Medicago truncatula: one gene and its partner. The protein of the gene in region 2 binds, or shares a complex with, the protein of the main gene of each other region. Links are inferred from orthologs where the notes say so. Each region holds a gene or a part of one and is shown on either strand. Other genes may lie near its edges.

What was found.
Region 1: eukaryotic translation initiation factor 3 subunit A (region 2) and eukaryotic translation initiation factor 3 subunit K share a complex: the UniProt entries of both Arabidopsis thaliana proteins name them as parts of the eukaryotic translation initiation factor 3 (eIF-3) complex. The link is inferred for Medicago truncatula from reciprocal best matches to the Arabidopsis thaliana genes EIF3A and EIF3K.

The regions. Positions count from the first base shown.
Region 1 is NC_053045.1:59,750,876-59,758,330, reverse strand, and holds eukaryotic translation initiation factor 3 subunit K, read left to right. Parts: upstream 1-4,444; 5' UTR 4,445-4,537; coding exon 4,538-4,669; intron 4,670-4,766; coding exon 4,767-4,823; intron 4,824-4,928; coding exon 4,929-4,979; intron 4,980-5,336; coding exon 5,337-5,399; intron 5,400-5,901; coding exon 5,902-5,952; intron 5,953-6,024; coding exon 6,025-6,091; intron 6,092-6,450; coding exon 6,451-6,533; intron 6,534-7,021; coding exon 7,022-7,225; 3' UTR 7,226-7,402; downstream 7,403-7,455. Other genes in the region: kinesin-like protein KIN-7B, read left to right, coding at 449-532, 904-993, 1,062-1,964, 2,282-2,586, 2,705-3,029. UniProt on the Arabidopsis thaliana protein: Component of the eukaryotic translation initiation factor 3 (eIF-3) complex, which is involved in protein synthesis of a specialized repertoire of mRNAs and, together with other initiation factors, stimulates binding of mRNA and methionyl-tRNAi to the 40S ribosome.
Region 2 is NC_053048.1:47,003,257-47,011,064, forward strand, and holds the start of eukaryotic translation initiation factor 3 subunit A, read right to left. Parts: upstream 3,003-7,808; 5' UTR 2,841-3,002; intron 2,062-2,840; 5' UTR 2,035-2,061; coding exon 1,989-2,034; intron 1,878-1,988; coding exon 1,396-1,877; intron 1,213-1,395; coding exon 997-1,212; intron 912-996; coding exon 543-911; intron 446-542; coding exon 416-445; intron 1-415. Other genes in the region: organelle RRM domain-containing protein 2, mitochondrial, read left to right, coding at 6,946-7,066. UniProt on the Arabidopsis thaliana protein: RNA-binding component of the eukaryotic translation initiation factor 3 (eIF-3) complex, which is involved in protein synthesis of a specialized repertoire of mRNAs and, together with other initiation factors, stimulates binding of mRNA and methionyl-tRNAi to the 40S ribosome.

The DNA of each region.
Region 1 (7,455 bases), on a different chromosome or scaffold from region 2:
CCAAAAATTAACTAGTGCAAAGGGTATATGTTTTAATAGAATGGTTTGAAATAATTTAAGAGTGATGAATACTAATTTTCATAAACGGCATACTGTCTTTCACTTTCATATTGGTAAACAAAAGTGCTACTTACAGAATTTAGTTTGTGTCACTCAAATGGAAATTCAGAAATATATGTCCTTTTCTGTAATACTCAGTGTAATGTATCTTCTATTTCAAAATACCACTTCACTTTCATATTGGTAAACAAAAGTGCTACTTACAGAATTTAGTCTGTGTCACTCAAATGATTCGGAAATATATGTCCTTTTCTGTAATACTCAGTGTAATGTATCTTCTATTTCAAAATACCACTTCATTTATCAATTGCTTTCGTATTTTTCACAAAAAAGAAAACAATCATATTATAAGAAGTCTGTCTAATTTGTGGGTGGTGCTTTTCAACAGGTTGAAGGAGAGTTAAGAAACCCTGAACCAGAACATGCAGGTCTAAGGTCATTGCTAGCTGAAAAGGAGTTGAAAATTCAGCAGGTACATAGTTCTTTCTTGGTCTTAACTTTCATGTAAAATATATGAGCCTACTGCCTGAAACAAATTTAGTGACCCTTACCAGCTATAGATGGATATTATAATTGTATTTTCCAAAGTTCTTGCATTTTCTCTTAGCTCAAAATATGGTCAATTAATTATAATGAAGCCATATTTTTTAACATTTACGGAAGTCTTGGAATTTGTAGCAATACTGATTATCAAATCCTGTAAAGTAGCTTCAGATCGGCTGCTCTTCTAGTCTAGAAGACTAGCATAAACTGTAAAAGACTTGCTTATTATTTTAAAAATATAAGAAAACTGACTTTTCTTGAGTTTTATGTAATTATTCTCACTTTTCATGGAAATTGCAGATGGAAAAGGATATGGAAGATCTGAGGCGACAGAGAGACCTTGCGCAATGTCAACTTGATCTTGAAAGAAGAGCAAATAAAGTTCAGAAGGTATCTGGAATGATCATGACACATTAGTTTGACCCTTAATTTTATTCTTCTAACTCAAATATATGCAGGGATCAAGTGATTACGGACCCTCTAGTCAAGTTGTCAGATGTCTTTCTTTTGCTGAGGAAAATGAATTGGCTATCGGTAAACATACTCCAGAGAGAACGGAAACAGTAAGCAGGCAGGCAATGCTGAAGAACTTGTTGGCTTCTCCTGATCCATCAATACTTGTCGATGAAATTCAAAAGCTTGAACATCGGCAGTTGCAACTCTGCGAGGATGCAAACCGAGCACTTGAAGTTCTGCATAAGGATTTTGCAACCCATAATCTTGGAAATCAAGAAACGGCTGAAACCATGTCGAAAGTACTGTCTGAAATTAAAGACTTGGTAGCTGCTAGTTCTACTGCAGAAGAAATCGTGAATGCAGACAAGACCAACCTGATGGAAAAGATCAACCAGCTGAAAAATCAAGGGAACACTATTACATCTTTAGAGAGGAAGCTAGAAAGTGTTCAGAAATCTATAGACAAACTGGTATCTGCTTTTGGTACTGAGGAGACTCCAGACAGTAAGACCCAACTTAGAAGGAAGAAAACTCTTCCTTTCAAATTAAACAACAGCCCCAACATGCAACACATAATACGAGCTCCTTGCTCGCCTCTCTCTTATCGTAAAGCAACAGAACATGAAATTGAGAACAGAGTACCCATTATTTCCTCCTCTGGTCGTGATACTTATGCAAGGTTGCATAGAGATACCCCACGAAAGGATGATGAAAGTTGTGATTCTATTTTATCACGGGCAGATAGCCCTGCTTCGCAGCAATCAAAATCAGTGAATGTGAAGAAGATTCAGAAAATGTTCAAGAATGCTGCTGAGGAGAACATTCGGAGCTTCAGGGTTTATATTACCGAGTTAAAAGAGCTAGTGGCTAAGCTGCATTACCAAAAGCAACTTCTGGTTTGCCAGGCAAGATTTGATAGAATCACTATTTATTATATATATTATGGTGCTGCCATGTATATTTTCTTCATCTTAGTTTTGTTTTCCGCATTCAACCATCTTCATTTTGTTTCCCCTGCCAAACTATAGTTATTATTGAATATATATTGAAAAATTTGACATTTTAAAAACCACTTGTATCTGAAAATAACTTGGAATGATGGAGTTACTTTAGCACTATACTTACTGCTGATTTTTTAAGTTTAACTTCATTGTAATTCATTCATGTTAATAATATATATAATATACTGACGTTGATGCTTTTTTCCTTTGCACTGGTATAGGTTTTGGAGCTTGAAGCAAACAAGTCTATAACTGAAGAAATGGATACAATTGATCGATCTCCTTTATCATGGCACATACTATTTGAACAGCAGAGAAAGCAAATTATCATGTTATGGCATTTATGCCACATTTCTCTGGTGCACCGGACACAGTTTTATCTTTTATTAAGGGGAGATCCTTCTGATCAGGTATATATGGAAGTTGAACTTAGAAGATTGACTTGGTTGGAACAACATCTGGCAGAGCTTGGGAATGCTAGTCCTGCTCTTCTAGGTGATGAGCCTGCAGACTCAGTTTCGGCAAGGTATACAAGTGTCTTTGATGATTCTATTAGATGCATATGTTTATAATTAGTGTCTTTCAAAAGGTTTATTTCAGAAAATAGTGTTGAGATTTTACTACTGATTAATCGTCAAATGCAGCATCAAAGCTTTGAAGCAAGAAAGGGAGTATCTTGCCAAGAGGGTGAACTGTAAACTTACAGCCGAGGAGAGGGAACTACTTTATTCAAGATGGGAAGTTCCTCCAGTAGGAAAACAAAGGAGGCTGCAATTTGTAAATAAGTTGTGGATGAACCCTTATGACATGCAGCATATACAAGACAGCGCAGAAATTGTAGCAAAGCTCGTTGATTTTTGTGTATCTAATGAAAATAGCAAGGACATGTTTGCTTTGAACTTTGCTAGCCCTCATAATAGGAAAACATGGGCAGGGTGGAACTTTATATCAAATCTTTTAAAATTGTAAACACGAACTATTGTAAATGTCTTTCAATTATATGATTATAGTTGGAGAATGGAGCTCATTTACAATATGATATTGTAAATGTCTTTAAAATATTATAGCATCTTCAATATAGTTATATTAAATACGCAGCTATTTTTATATTACTGTTATTTTTCTTAGGAGAATGGAGCTCATTTAGATAGTAGATTGTGTTCCTTAAACTTAAGAAATGTCATTTTATAAGGAACACTTGCAGTTTATTTGTTTATTGTTGCAGTTTGAACCTGAGAAAATGAGTTCTCAGATTGTAGCTCGCATATTGGTTAAGGTTTGCTAGCCCTCTTTCAGCTTGCTTTTTTCTTCCTAAGCACTTCTTCTAAGAATAAAAATTTTGTCCTCCCAACTTTCACAAACCAACGATTTTAACCCCAAATTTTCAAAATAGCACTTTTGCCCCTCAATTTCAGTCCCTCTTGCAAATGTGACACATGCCCTTTGATTTTGACCGGCTGAATGCAGTGATGGGTCAAAATTGTCGGTTTGTGTAAATCGGGGGGCCAATATCGCCGATCAGTTAGGGGTCAAAAATGTAATTTACTCAGATAATATAATACACGTGTGGCATCTAAGTCATTAAATTTGATATCTTTGACTTGGTCAAAATCAAAGGGGTTCTTCAAAATGCAATTTCATGTTAAATTTTTTCATGATTTTTTTTTAGACGTGTTTAGGAAAATACGGTTTTTCACATAAAATTAGAATTATCTGACAATAGATAAATTAAGTATAAATTTTAAAAGTGCTAATAATTCAAAAATCAGAAGAATAAAAGCTTCAACCTAAAAATCAAATTTTAAGCTTAATTTTTGCAAAAATATCTATAAAAGATATAGCAAGGGTAAGCAAAGTTAATATTTCCTTATAAAAAAGTTAATATTGTAAAATAACTTGTGATTTTAAGCTTCTTTTTTTTTATACCATTAATTAATAATGGGTAATATTGTAATATAACTTGTGATTTCCTTCTTCAATACAAAATTAATTATTTTTTTAGTCTATTTAAAATCACGTTAAAATAACTTATAATTTTGATATCCAACTCAATGATCGATTAATTCGAGAAATCTAATTCTACTGTCTACTTGCAGGCTTCTTTTAAAGTCATGACAAAACTCAATGTGGACCGATCCATCGTAATTAACACAAATAATCAAACTTAAAAGAACGCACGTTGTTGTTCTATGTCAACAAGAGAGCAAGATAAACGCAAATTTAAACGAGTTATAATTTAAAGGAGGCGAAATATTTATCTACAATATTAAATTAAAACATTATATTTTTTTTAAAATATATATAAACTATAAAGGACGAAAAAACATTTTTGGTTAAAGAAAAAGGAGCAATAATATATTTAACTTTTCCTTGTGAATCGCGTTGAGGTAACTGGTAAGATAGCGAAGTACTAGGGTTTAGCGCATCAACTGAGAGAGAGAGAGAGAGAGAGAGAGAGAGAGAGAGAGAGTTTCGAAATGGGAAGAGAAGCAGCAGCAGCAGCAGAGAAAGGACAGGGAGGAACTGCTTACACTGTCGAACAGCTCGTTGCATTCAATCGTTACAATCCTGATATTCTTCCAGATCTCGAAAACTATGTCAATGATCAGGTAACCTTTCTTTTTTATCATTCATATCACTAAATTAGGGTTTATACAATTCCAATTAACGATTTTCTATCCTTTTTTTTTATTATTATTTCTTCAGGTTTCATCGCAAACTTACAGCCTCGAATCAAATCTCTGCCTTCTTCGCCTCTACCAGGTATCCATTTTCTTATTAATCGTCATTTTCAGATTATTGCTTGATGACAATTATAAAGGTTGATTGCAAGTAATTGTTTGTTTGTTTATTTATTTATTATTGCAGTTTGAATCTGAGAAAATGAGTTCTCAGATTGTAGCTCGCATATTGGTTAAGGTATTCAATTCTATTGTTTTTTTTTTTATTGCTTATTACTTGTGAACGAAAAATCATATGCCTAGGGGCCTATTTGAATTGACTTATTATGAAAACAGCTTATTACAATATCGTTCGTAAGATGTTTTCAGCTTATTTTCATAAATTCTTCAAGATAGCTTATGAAAATAGCTTATAGCTTATATCAAAACAATTTAACTTTATTTTATCTTTTGCTATATAAATAGCTTGAACACAAGTGCTTATCATAATAAGCACTTGTGTTGTAAGCCTCAAATAAGGTGTTTATCTAAACAGAGCCAAGATAGTTGATTGATGTTATCACTTGGTAAAATATTTGGTTTTGTTTTTCAACAGGCTCTCATGGCCATGCCGGCTCCAGATTTCAGCCTGTGTCTCTTTTTGATTCCAGAACGTGTGGTATGGTTCTTACAAAGTATTCTTTTCTTTGTAGTTGTTTTTCTTGTTCTCATGCATCATTTATTGGATATTTGAATGATTCAGTCACTCTTGTTAGATGCCTTTGATTGAGAAGGACCTAACAATCAATTTTAATTTTATGAAATTGACTGTCAATCTTTAGTATTACATAGGATTTCGGGGGGTTGGGTAGCTCAACTGGTTTTAGCCAAGGGTTAAAGAACATGGTTCAAACCTTTGCAAAGGAGAGAAAAATACTAATATAACAACTAACGTGCTGACATTTCCTCTAAAAAAAATTAAATACTGACATTTGTCTATAAAAAAAATTACATAGGGTTTCTATGTGTCTGGTATTCATCTGGGTTTTATAAATTTTCTATTTGATTTTGAGAATTGTGTAACTGTATTACTGATCTATTCATTTCTTTCTTATTAAGCAGTACCCTGTGGCGTCTTGTTTTCTTTTAGTGTAATAATTTTTGTTTCCTATGAATAATAGCAAATGGAGGAGCAGTTCAAGACACTGATTGTTCTGTCTCACTATTTAGAGGTATGCATCAATTAGTTGCCATGACTTAAGCAGTTCTTTGAAATCATAAGTTAATATTCTTATTATCTTCAGACTGGAAGGTTTCGTCAGTTCTGGGATGAAGCATCGAAAAGTCGTCATATAGTTGAAGCTGTGCCAGGTGATTATACATTATATTCATTCATGATTGATACTGATTTAATTTTGCTATATCTTGTTAATTGAGTCGTGACCCTGGGAAGGCTTGTGGTTACAAATATCTTATATATGACAAGCATTTCAAGATAGAGCTTTATCATACGCTCATCACGGATATATTATTGGGAAATAATAGAGCTGTACTGCTACAATATCATATATATGTTGGACATTGATTTTCTTAAATTTATTACTTATAATAGAGCTGCACTGCTACAATGTTTTATATACGTCAGACATTTCAAGATAGAGCTTTAGCTTATAGGTTCAACTTTGTTAATGCTTGCTTTTATGCTAGCTTACTTCAGAAATTTATTGCAGGATTTGAGCAGGCAATCCAAGGCTATGCGATTCATGTTCTATCCTTGACTTACCAAAAGATTCCCAGAACTGTGCTTGCTGAGGTATGCTTTTAGTTTTGTCCATTTAAATATTGGTTCGTTTATTACTGAAAAATAGTTTGTGTGGCTTAGTCTCTGCTAGTTCAAAGTACATTACATTAATTCTCCAAAACCTAGTTTAACTCGGGTTTGATGAATGAACTCATACTGATATAATACAACACTTCTAGATTCACGATTCATTAAGTCTCCAAAACCTAGTTTAACTCAGGTTTGATGAATGAACTCGTACATGATACAATACAACACTTCTAGATTCACAATACAACACTATTGTTCTGTTTATTCCTTTGGGGTTAAATGATTCTTGAAAACTTCGGCGGTTAGTTATTTGAATTCTTCTCACTGTTTGTCAAGTACAAGAGTGTTGGTTTCTGTAGAAATTGTTTTTATTTTGAAGACTTGTACGGATCTAATAGATATCAGTTGATTTCTCATATTACTTTGAAGCATATTAACAAGATCATTTATTTTTTGTTAAACTTGAATAGGCTATCAATGTAGAAGGTTTATCCTTGGACAAATTCCTTGAACACCAAGTAGAAAACTCTGGTTGGGTTATTGAGAAAAGCCAGGGGAAGGGTCAACTCATCGTCCTTCCGAGAAATGAATTTAATGATCCAATTTTGAAGAAAAACACTGCAGATAGTGTACCATTGGAGCACGTTACCCGCATCTTTCCTATTCTTAGCTGATTTAATATGGGGGACTGTATTTTCTTTCCAGAAAATGTGCGAATTTGTGATTAGTTGAAGCGATATTTTGCTGACTCCCATCCCATTGGATGCTTCAGTTTGAGAATTCGTGAACAGCTATTGTAGTTTACTCTTGACTTTTTGCATTAATGTTTGGAATTTAATTTGCTTTACCTATCTCTTAAACCAATTGCTTTACCATGCCTTATTATTGGGGTAATGCCCTCAAT
Region 2 (7,808 bases):
CCAACCCCTGAACCTTACAGAGTACACAAACACACACACAGACATATATATATATATATGTGTGTGTGTGTGTGTGTGTGTGTGTGTTTAAATAATGTTTGTGCCCAACCACACCAAAGGTTCAGGAAATAATGTAAGCAATTATTTTTAGATATGTTTAAAATAATTACCACAACAAAGATTCAAAACCAACCCATGAAATGCAAAAATCGATAGCTGTTATAAGTTGAAAATTAAAGAAATTCAAATCGATATGACCAACACCAAAAATTTGAAGGACAAAAATAACGAGTGCAGTTACTCAACTACTTGTTGAAAGCCCATTCCTTAACAATATACATCAAGATAACAAAATTAAAAATTTATATAGGAATTTCTTTAGAATTTTTTGTTTCAAATAATGAGAATATCTTACCAGTTCAGCAAGAAGTGACGACCTTGAGAGCTGGGGAAAGACAAAACAGAAACAAAAACAAATGGTAAGAATAGCAAATCATATATCTATACACTACTGGGAGTGCAAATGAGGGAAAGTTAAATACCACTTCTCTGCTATCAGGCTTAGTTTCAAGATTAAAGCCTATGAGATTAGCCATCCTCAAATTTCGCTCTTTTTCATGCTCTAGTTCTAAATGAGATGCACCATGAGTGCGATCATGAGGAGGCACCGAGAGTGCAGCTAGAACAACAGATGAAGCTATTAATTGCAAATCCTTTTGACCAAGATTTTTGTTGAAGCTTTTCTGTAACAAAAAGAGCTTAAACCATGCATAAGCATGATATAAATGACTTGAAGATTTCCAAAATATTTCTGTCAACTTGACATAGTAAACAGTCATCAAGGATGGTTTAGGTGTTTTCTTGACCATGCACATTAATCCATGAATATCTTCAACAGATCTGAAGGCTTCCTGCATGCAACAAAAAATCAGGTCTGCCAACATCAATGAAATAAACACCTTGTGAAGATTTAAGGAAAAATGAGAAGCTGCCAACCTGCCAGAGTTCAAGTTCAGTGGCAATTTTCAGCTGCTCAAATCTTGTATCAAGATACAATTGCAAGCTTTCAGGAGCAGAAAGGTCAGGCCGGTCTCGTTGGTCCCGATATTTGTTAAGATTAGCCAAATGATTTCTGATAATTTCACAGAGTCTGCGAAATTCTGTTGTTCGCTTATACTGCTTACAAAACTGGAAAGCTCGATGGGCTGTCATCTGCATATGGCAATAGAATCGACTATAAGTTTGACATAAAAGTAAATCTGCCTTGCATATTATTGTTTTTTAACTATAAAACGTAGAATGATATGAAATAAAAAAGAAGAATAAGTTAATGGGCAACAACAACATATAGCCCTAATGACAAGCAATTAATTTCTATTTATCAGGAATACTTACAGCATATAAGGCTTCCAATTTGGAGTTGTTCCGCAATATTTCAAGCACTGTCCTGTAAGTTTCCCATAGAAATTTAAACCATGGCGTAACAAGCTCCCGATCAGATCTATCCTTTCCTTTCTCGCCACTAACATAGCTCAGCATCAAATCCTCTGGCCTTTTATCAGCCTCCAGGTCATCCACATCAAGGGCTTCTTCCAAAGCCTGAGCCTGACTACGTGCTTGTTCAGCTTTCTCTGTTGACAGATGCATGAAGTGCTTGATCACCTCCTCCAGTGAGCTAACATTCACTTGCTGACATATTATACGATACTGAATGAGGCCATCCTTAGCAAATCGGCCTTTCCTCATGTCAACACAAAGCTCGACATACTTAAACATAATTCTCTCCAGTGTTTTCTGCCATGCGCGATATCTTTTCGAAGTGATCAGGTCGTGCAGAGTCTGAAGAGCATCCTGCTTCTGCCCGACATTGATCAACTCTGTAAATCAAATTTTAAGTGATTCAATTGCATAATTCTCTAAAACAAATGACAAGCTAAGAACACGAAGAATAGAAAAATAGAAACTAAATAGTCATCTTCTGAACAAACCTTCTGCCCTTTTGAGAGCATTCTCAGGCTTCAAAAATGACGTCATATTGCAAATTCACAAAAATTCAACTCCCTGTAAATAAGAGAGAGTGATAATGAAAATTAAAAAATAATAATGAAACAAAATGTAATCCAAAAACAACTGTAAAACACAAATTCACATCAGAATTATCTAGAAAAATTGTAAATCTCGCAAGATTATAGATTTGAATCACGTTAAACCAATGTCATTCATAAACTAAGACATCAAGTGAAATTGCCACTAAATGTAGCAGAAATTTAAGCGAAAATAACAATCAAACAGATATTCATATGAAAATTCTCTAGGAAAAAACGCCAAAAGATTGTAAATTACAATCACGATAAGGTGATGATATTCATAATAAGAATCATGCTAAGCCATCATCTTCGTGTAATATAATTAGCTGAGCAGATTAACTGAAAATAGCGATAATCAAAATAAAAAAAAAAAAAACAATAATAACAGTTAAACACAATTTCATATCAAAATTCTCTACAATAGTCAAATCTCGCGGAATTGTAAATTAGAATCACACTAAACCGATGATAATCATAAACTGAAAATCAAGTGAATCATCTACATCTAATTAGCTGATTCAAATTAACCATTAACAATAAAACTGGTATTATTGGAATACAAAAATAACGATAATTGAATCAGTTTATATCGCAAATCGCACAATCTCAGAATTGCGTTGCGGAGTGGATCTCTTCTCAAAAGGAATTTCCCGCGCACCGTCGTTCATAACGGCCGGGAAACGCGCCGGAATCGCATCGTCGAGAGTGGAAAGAAAATCGAAAGAAAAAAAAAAAAGGAAAATCTGAACGTACTTCGTAACGGTTTGTCGTTGTCGATGAAAAACAGTGGTTTCGTTTCCGTCCAGCTTTTGCTTTGTTACGAAGAAATTGAGAGTTGAGTGCGTCTTCTTCTTCTTCTTCTCAAACTGGATGCAAGTGCGCAAAAGCTCAGCGGCTGCTTATCGGTTTTGTTGCGTTAGGGTTTTAATGGTAAAAGCTTATTATGGGCCTAAGAAAATTGAATTGGGTCGGGTTTGGCCTCTTCAAAATGTTATGTATTTTTTAACCCAGGAAAATAAATAGTATGAAATAACAAATATTGAAGTTTATCGTAAAAAAGAAACAAATATTACTTTGGTTTTGACTCATCATTAAGACGTAGATTTTTTTTTACTCATTAATGATGTAGAAACTGAAAAAATATTAATATCAAAACCGAAATATTCACATTCAGGATGGAGCCAGAAATTTTTGCTAGAGGGGGCGAAAATAATTCATGTAATGTCGAGTCATTTGCTTGGTTTGAAATCAATTAATCACTTTTGTTTTAAATTTCTGATTTCTGAAGAAAAAAAGCTTTGGGAGTTATGAGAACGTAACATGATAATAAATCACATAAAGTCTGATCGTATATTTTTTAACTTAAATAATGTATTTTTTTCTTTTGCTAACATGAATAAGATGCCTTATTTTACCCTCTCAAACAAAAAGAATACTACTAATTTCAAAAGAGGCGAATGTAATGAATTTTTTTTCTTTCTATTAAGCAATACACAAAAATTAATATCATTATAAGAAGATGACTAAATGTGAGGCACTGGATAGAATACTTGTATATATATGTACCAAGTGACGTGGAAAGGAATTGAAATTAGAGTGTATTGAAAAGTACTAGAGTGATGCATGTAATTGTAGTTCAACTAATCCTGTTTCACAGGAGTAACATTCTTATTTCTTTAGGGGGACGAGTATGAGTTTCGGTATATATTTGTCATAAATTTCTTGTATTTGGGGGTGGCGACTGCCCCAAAACAAATATATGTAGCTTCGTCCACATTTTCTATCCTCTAACTAATGCACTCTAGTGTTGTTAGATTATTTTCTCCAACTTCCGAAAATTGGAGGTTATCACATGGCAAGTGATTTCTCTCGTGGATGTTTGTTTCAAGTTTAATAAAACATTCTTGAAAATGTATTAATAGGGAATTATTATGTTCATATTTATTGTAAGGTTGAGAAAAATATTTTTGGATATAAATCAAAGTTTATTGGAATGAACTAACTTCTCTTACTCTTGTGGAATCATTCACATGTGAGAAATTGGAAATGTGCATTCATGTGAAATTATATATAGAATTTTTTAAAAATGTCAAGTTAATATAGGACCAATATTATACAAAATCCTTAGGTGGTAGTGTGCTTGTTTGAAGAATCGGATTGGGTAACTGCCAGCTGGTGTGTGTGGTTTAAGGAGCTAAGGAGGCATATTTGATTCGATTCTTATTACACTTGCATTCAAGAGTCGTTTGGTTCTCTATTTATTTGTTTTTGTGCAGGTGGTGTTTGTAGTATCAGTTTGAGGCATTGGTGTGTGAATGTCTCTATATTGCTGCAGACTTTGTAAACATTGTTTATTCTATCTTGACTCTTAGCAATTTTTCTCGAGCATTTCTTATATTTGGATTTTTCAAGAGTTTTTTTTTATTTTTTACTATCGGATATTAAGATTCAAATTATACGTGGTTTGATTTAGATGACTATTTAAAACTCACTATCGTCAAATTCAGTTAAATGTGGCTTAGATCATATCAATTTTCGATTAATTTAATTTATAATTGTAAGATATTCTTTGTATTTGTAGGCAACTTAAAATACCAAAAAAAAAGGTTTGTCAAAAAAAAAATTAAGGTTTGAAGTTTCCGCGGCAGTTAACTGCAGTCGGTTTCTGAATTCCTCGACAGTTAACTGCCGAGAGGTATTTTGGTATTTTACTGGTGTGTTTCAGCCCTATTAGATGTGTACACAACAATTTTCATGCTTCTTTTAATGGTAATGTTAATTGTTAATGAATATTTACTATTTTATTTGGATTTGAATTCATAGTCTCTGACTCATTTAACCATTAGCTCAAACTAATTGAACTATCCAATCCTTGAGGATAAGCATAAATATTTTTTTAAGTGTTATTCGAGCACCAAAGTCCTCGCTGTCTTGGATTAAGACAACATTTCCTCACCCCAAACTTTTATTATCTAAAAAAAAACACTCGGTACTTGAACTTTGATATGTACCATTGGATAGTGGAATGACTCATGATCTACTTCAACATTTAATGTTTGCTTGGTTCGTGAGGGATTTGGATTCTCTCCATTGAAATTTTTCTCAGATTTTCTCCATTTTTAATCTCCATCATTAAAAGCCATTAACCACTTTTTTTTATACAATTTAACTCTCATTTTCTCTCTCATATTTAATGGTTAAGATTTCACTTGAGAAAAATTTCAATAGAGAGAATCCAAATCCATTCAGAAGAGGGGTTGGGAGGAGATAAATTTTAATGGAGGGGTTGGTAGGGGATTAAAATACTCATTATGCTTGGTTCAACATTTAATGTTTGCTTAGTTCAAGAGATGATGACCTGGGAGGATTTTAATTACATTTATGTTTGGTTCAAAATGGAAGTGGATAGATTTTAAAACTATTTTACCTTCTTATCTTTATAATTTTTCGATAGTCTCGTGATTTTGAAACTGTGACTCTTCGGCACTAAGACTTTTTGGACATTTTTTTTTTTTTTGTAAAAAATAAGAAATAAATTATATAATAATCAGTAGCTTCAATAATATTGATGGTTTCATAAGTCTCGAATTCAATGGATTTTAGATGGTGTTGGAATGTCATCCATGCGTTACAGATTTGATAAAGATAACAAAACCACTTTTCATGTTTTAAGGGAATACCCTGAACCACTCTTCATGATCTAGTTAGTCCCTTCTAATAACATTACTAGTTTTTTCTTCTTCTTTTTTTAATTGTAAGTACTTGATTTTCAAGAATATCAACAACCACTTGCATGAAACTCATAGTAAGAAGTGGACAACTACTTTTTTGGGTGGATTGCTGGCACATATGTATATGGAGGAGCAAAGTTATCTTTGAAGATGATTTTCAACGACCATTCAATGCAATCTCCATTGTCCTTGAGATGGTCGAGGACATAAACAATTGTAACCACTACCCTATGAATATTTGCCTCGAAGACGCCATTTTTATTGGTTGGGAAAGGCCCCGGGAATGGTGGGCCAAGCTTAATTGCGACGGAGCCTATGAGGACACTCAAATGATTATTCGGTGTGGTGGTCTTACACGACACTTTTACGAGAGATGGCTAATCGTGTACTCACGTAAAATTGGAACCTGGGATACTCTTAGCGCCAAGATGTGGGGATGTACTTGGGTATGTAGCTTGCTTGGAGACGTGGTTTCCGTTGTCTTTAAATTGAAAACGACTCAAAAACTATGGTTGACGTGATCATGGAGAATGTCAAAATTAACGACAAACCGCCTATTTTGGTGTGATACACTCGAAAGCTTTAGAGTTGGATCAACAAGTGTATTTCAATTAAATTATACCTAGAGGGAGGGAAATAAAAGTGTCGATTGACTTGCTAACTTTAACTTTTTTCTAAACTCTTTTCAAATTATTGTTATGAATACTATTCCTAATAAGATTTCAACCCATTTTTTAATGATATTTTTAGGGTTTGCATGCTTAAAAATATTGTTGAAACAGTGCATTTCTCTATCTTTTGAGTTTTGACTCTCTTTTACTAAAAAAAAAACTTTTACAAAAATCATCTCAACAAGTTAAATATAAATAATTTTGTGAATGTTGGTTTATAAAATCTTGGCTTTTCCTACCCTACACTACATCTCAACCTCGCCCTACTTATGAGGAGCAATACTATTAGGTCAACTAGAACATTCGGCAGGTGTTACACCCCTAAGTTAGGGTACGTCCTACAAACATTTTTAAGGTATCTCGACATCCTCGTCATCACCGTGAAACCTCAAACTAGGTTAGTTTCTCGTCGGTGGGTGATTCTGTCTGATTCCGTGCTTCAGGTAACAAGATAAGATGGCATTTTTCTTTGGATTTCACCGCTTGCTTCGTCACTCTCAATCCCCACTTGTTAGCTCCCATTTCACTTCCATTCGTCTCAATTCAACTCTCACTTCCCCCAAACTCTTCATTAGCGGTAATTACCCCACCCCTCTTAACATTTCTCTACCATATTTCAATTTTATGCATTAAATTAGATTAATATTGTTATGATGCACTTGTGTTACACCTAAGTTCCAGTTTAGATTAGATTCTTAATTTAAAGACCTTTTCAATTAACACTAGTTTATGGTTTTTTCACTTTACAAAAGGGTCATTAAAACTGCATTTCTGTCAGCCTTGCCCTGAAACTAGTTACATTTGAAGTGGACTTTTTTAAAAAATTAATAAATTGTATTACGGCTGTGCTTGTACCCTTGAAACATGAAATGTTTTCCTTTATTAAGGAAGCAAAACAGTTATGGCTGCGTGTTTTACATCTTCAAGGGAAACTCGAACTTCTTGTGTATTGATTGATTTCATGGTGTCACTGACTCTCTTTGGCATTCGGCACTATATCTTTTATTAGATGTTTCTTGAAGAACCAACGCAAGAATAAAATCAGCGTACATGAGATGAGAATGTTAGGGGGATGTGTGGTAAAATCAGATGTGAGAGAATTGGGGTAGCACTTATAGTAGAAAAGATGGTGGAAAATAGGCTTAGGTGGTTTGGGCATGTAGAGATAAGACACGTAGATTTTGTGTGAAGGAGAGTAGATCAAATGGAGGATTGTTAGATCCCTGGAGGCAGAGGAAGACCCATAAAAACTATAAGACTAAGAGAAACTATTAAGAAAGACTCAGAGATTAGTTAGTTGGACCAACATATGGTCTATG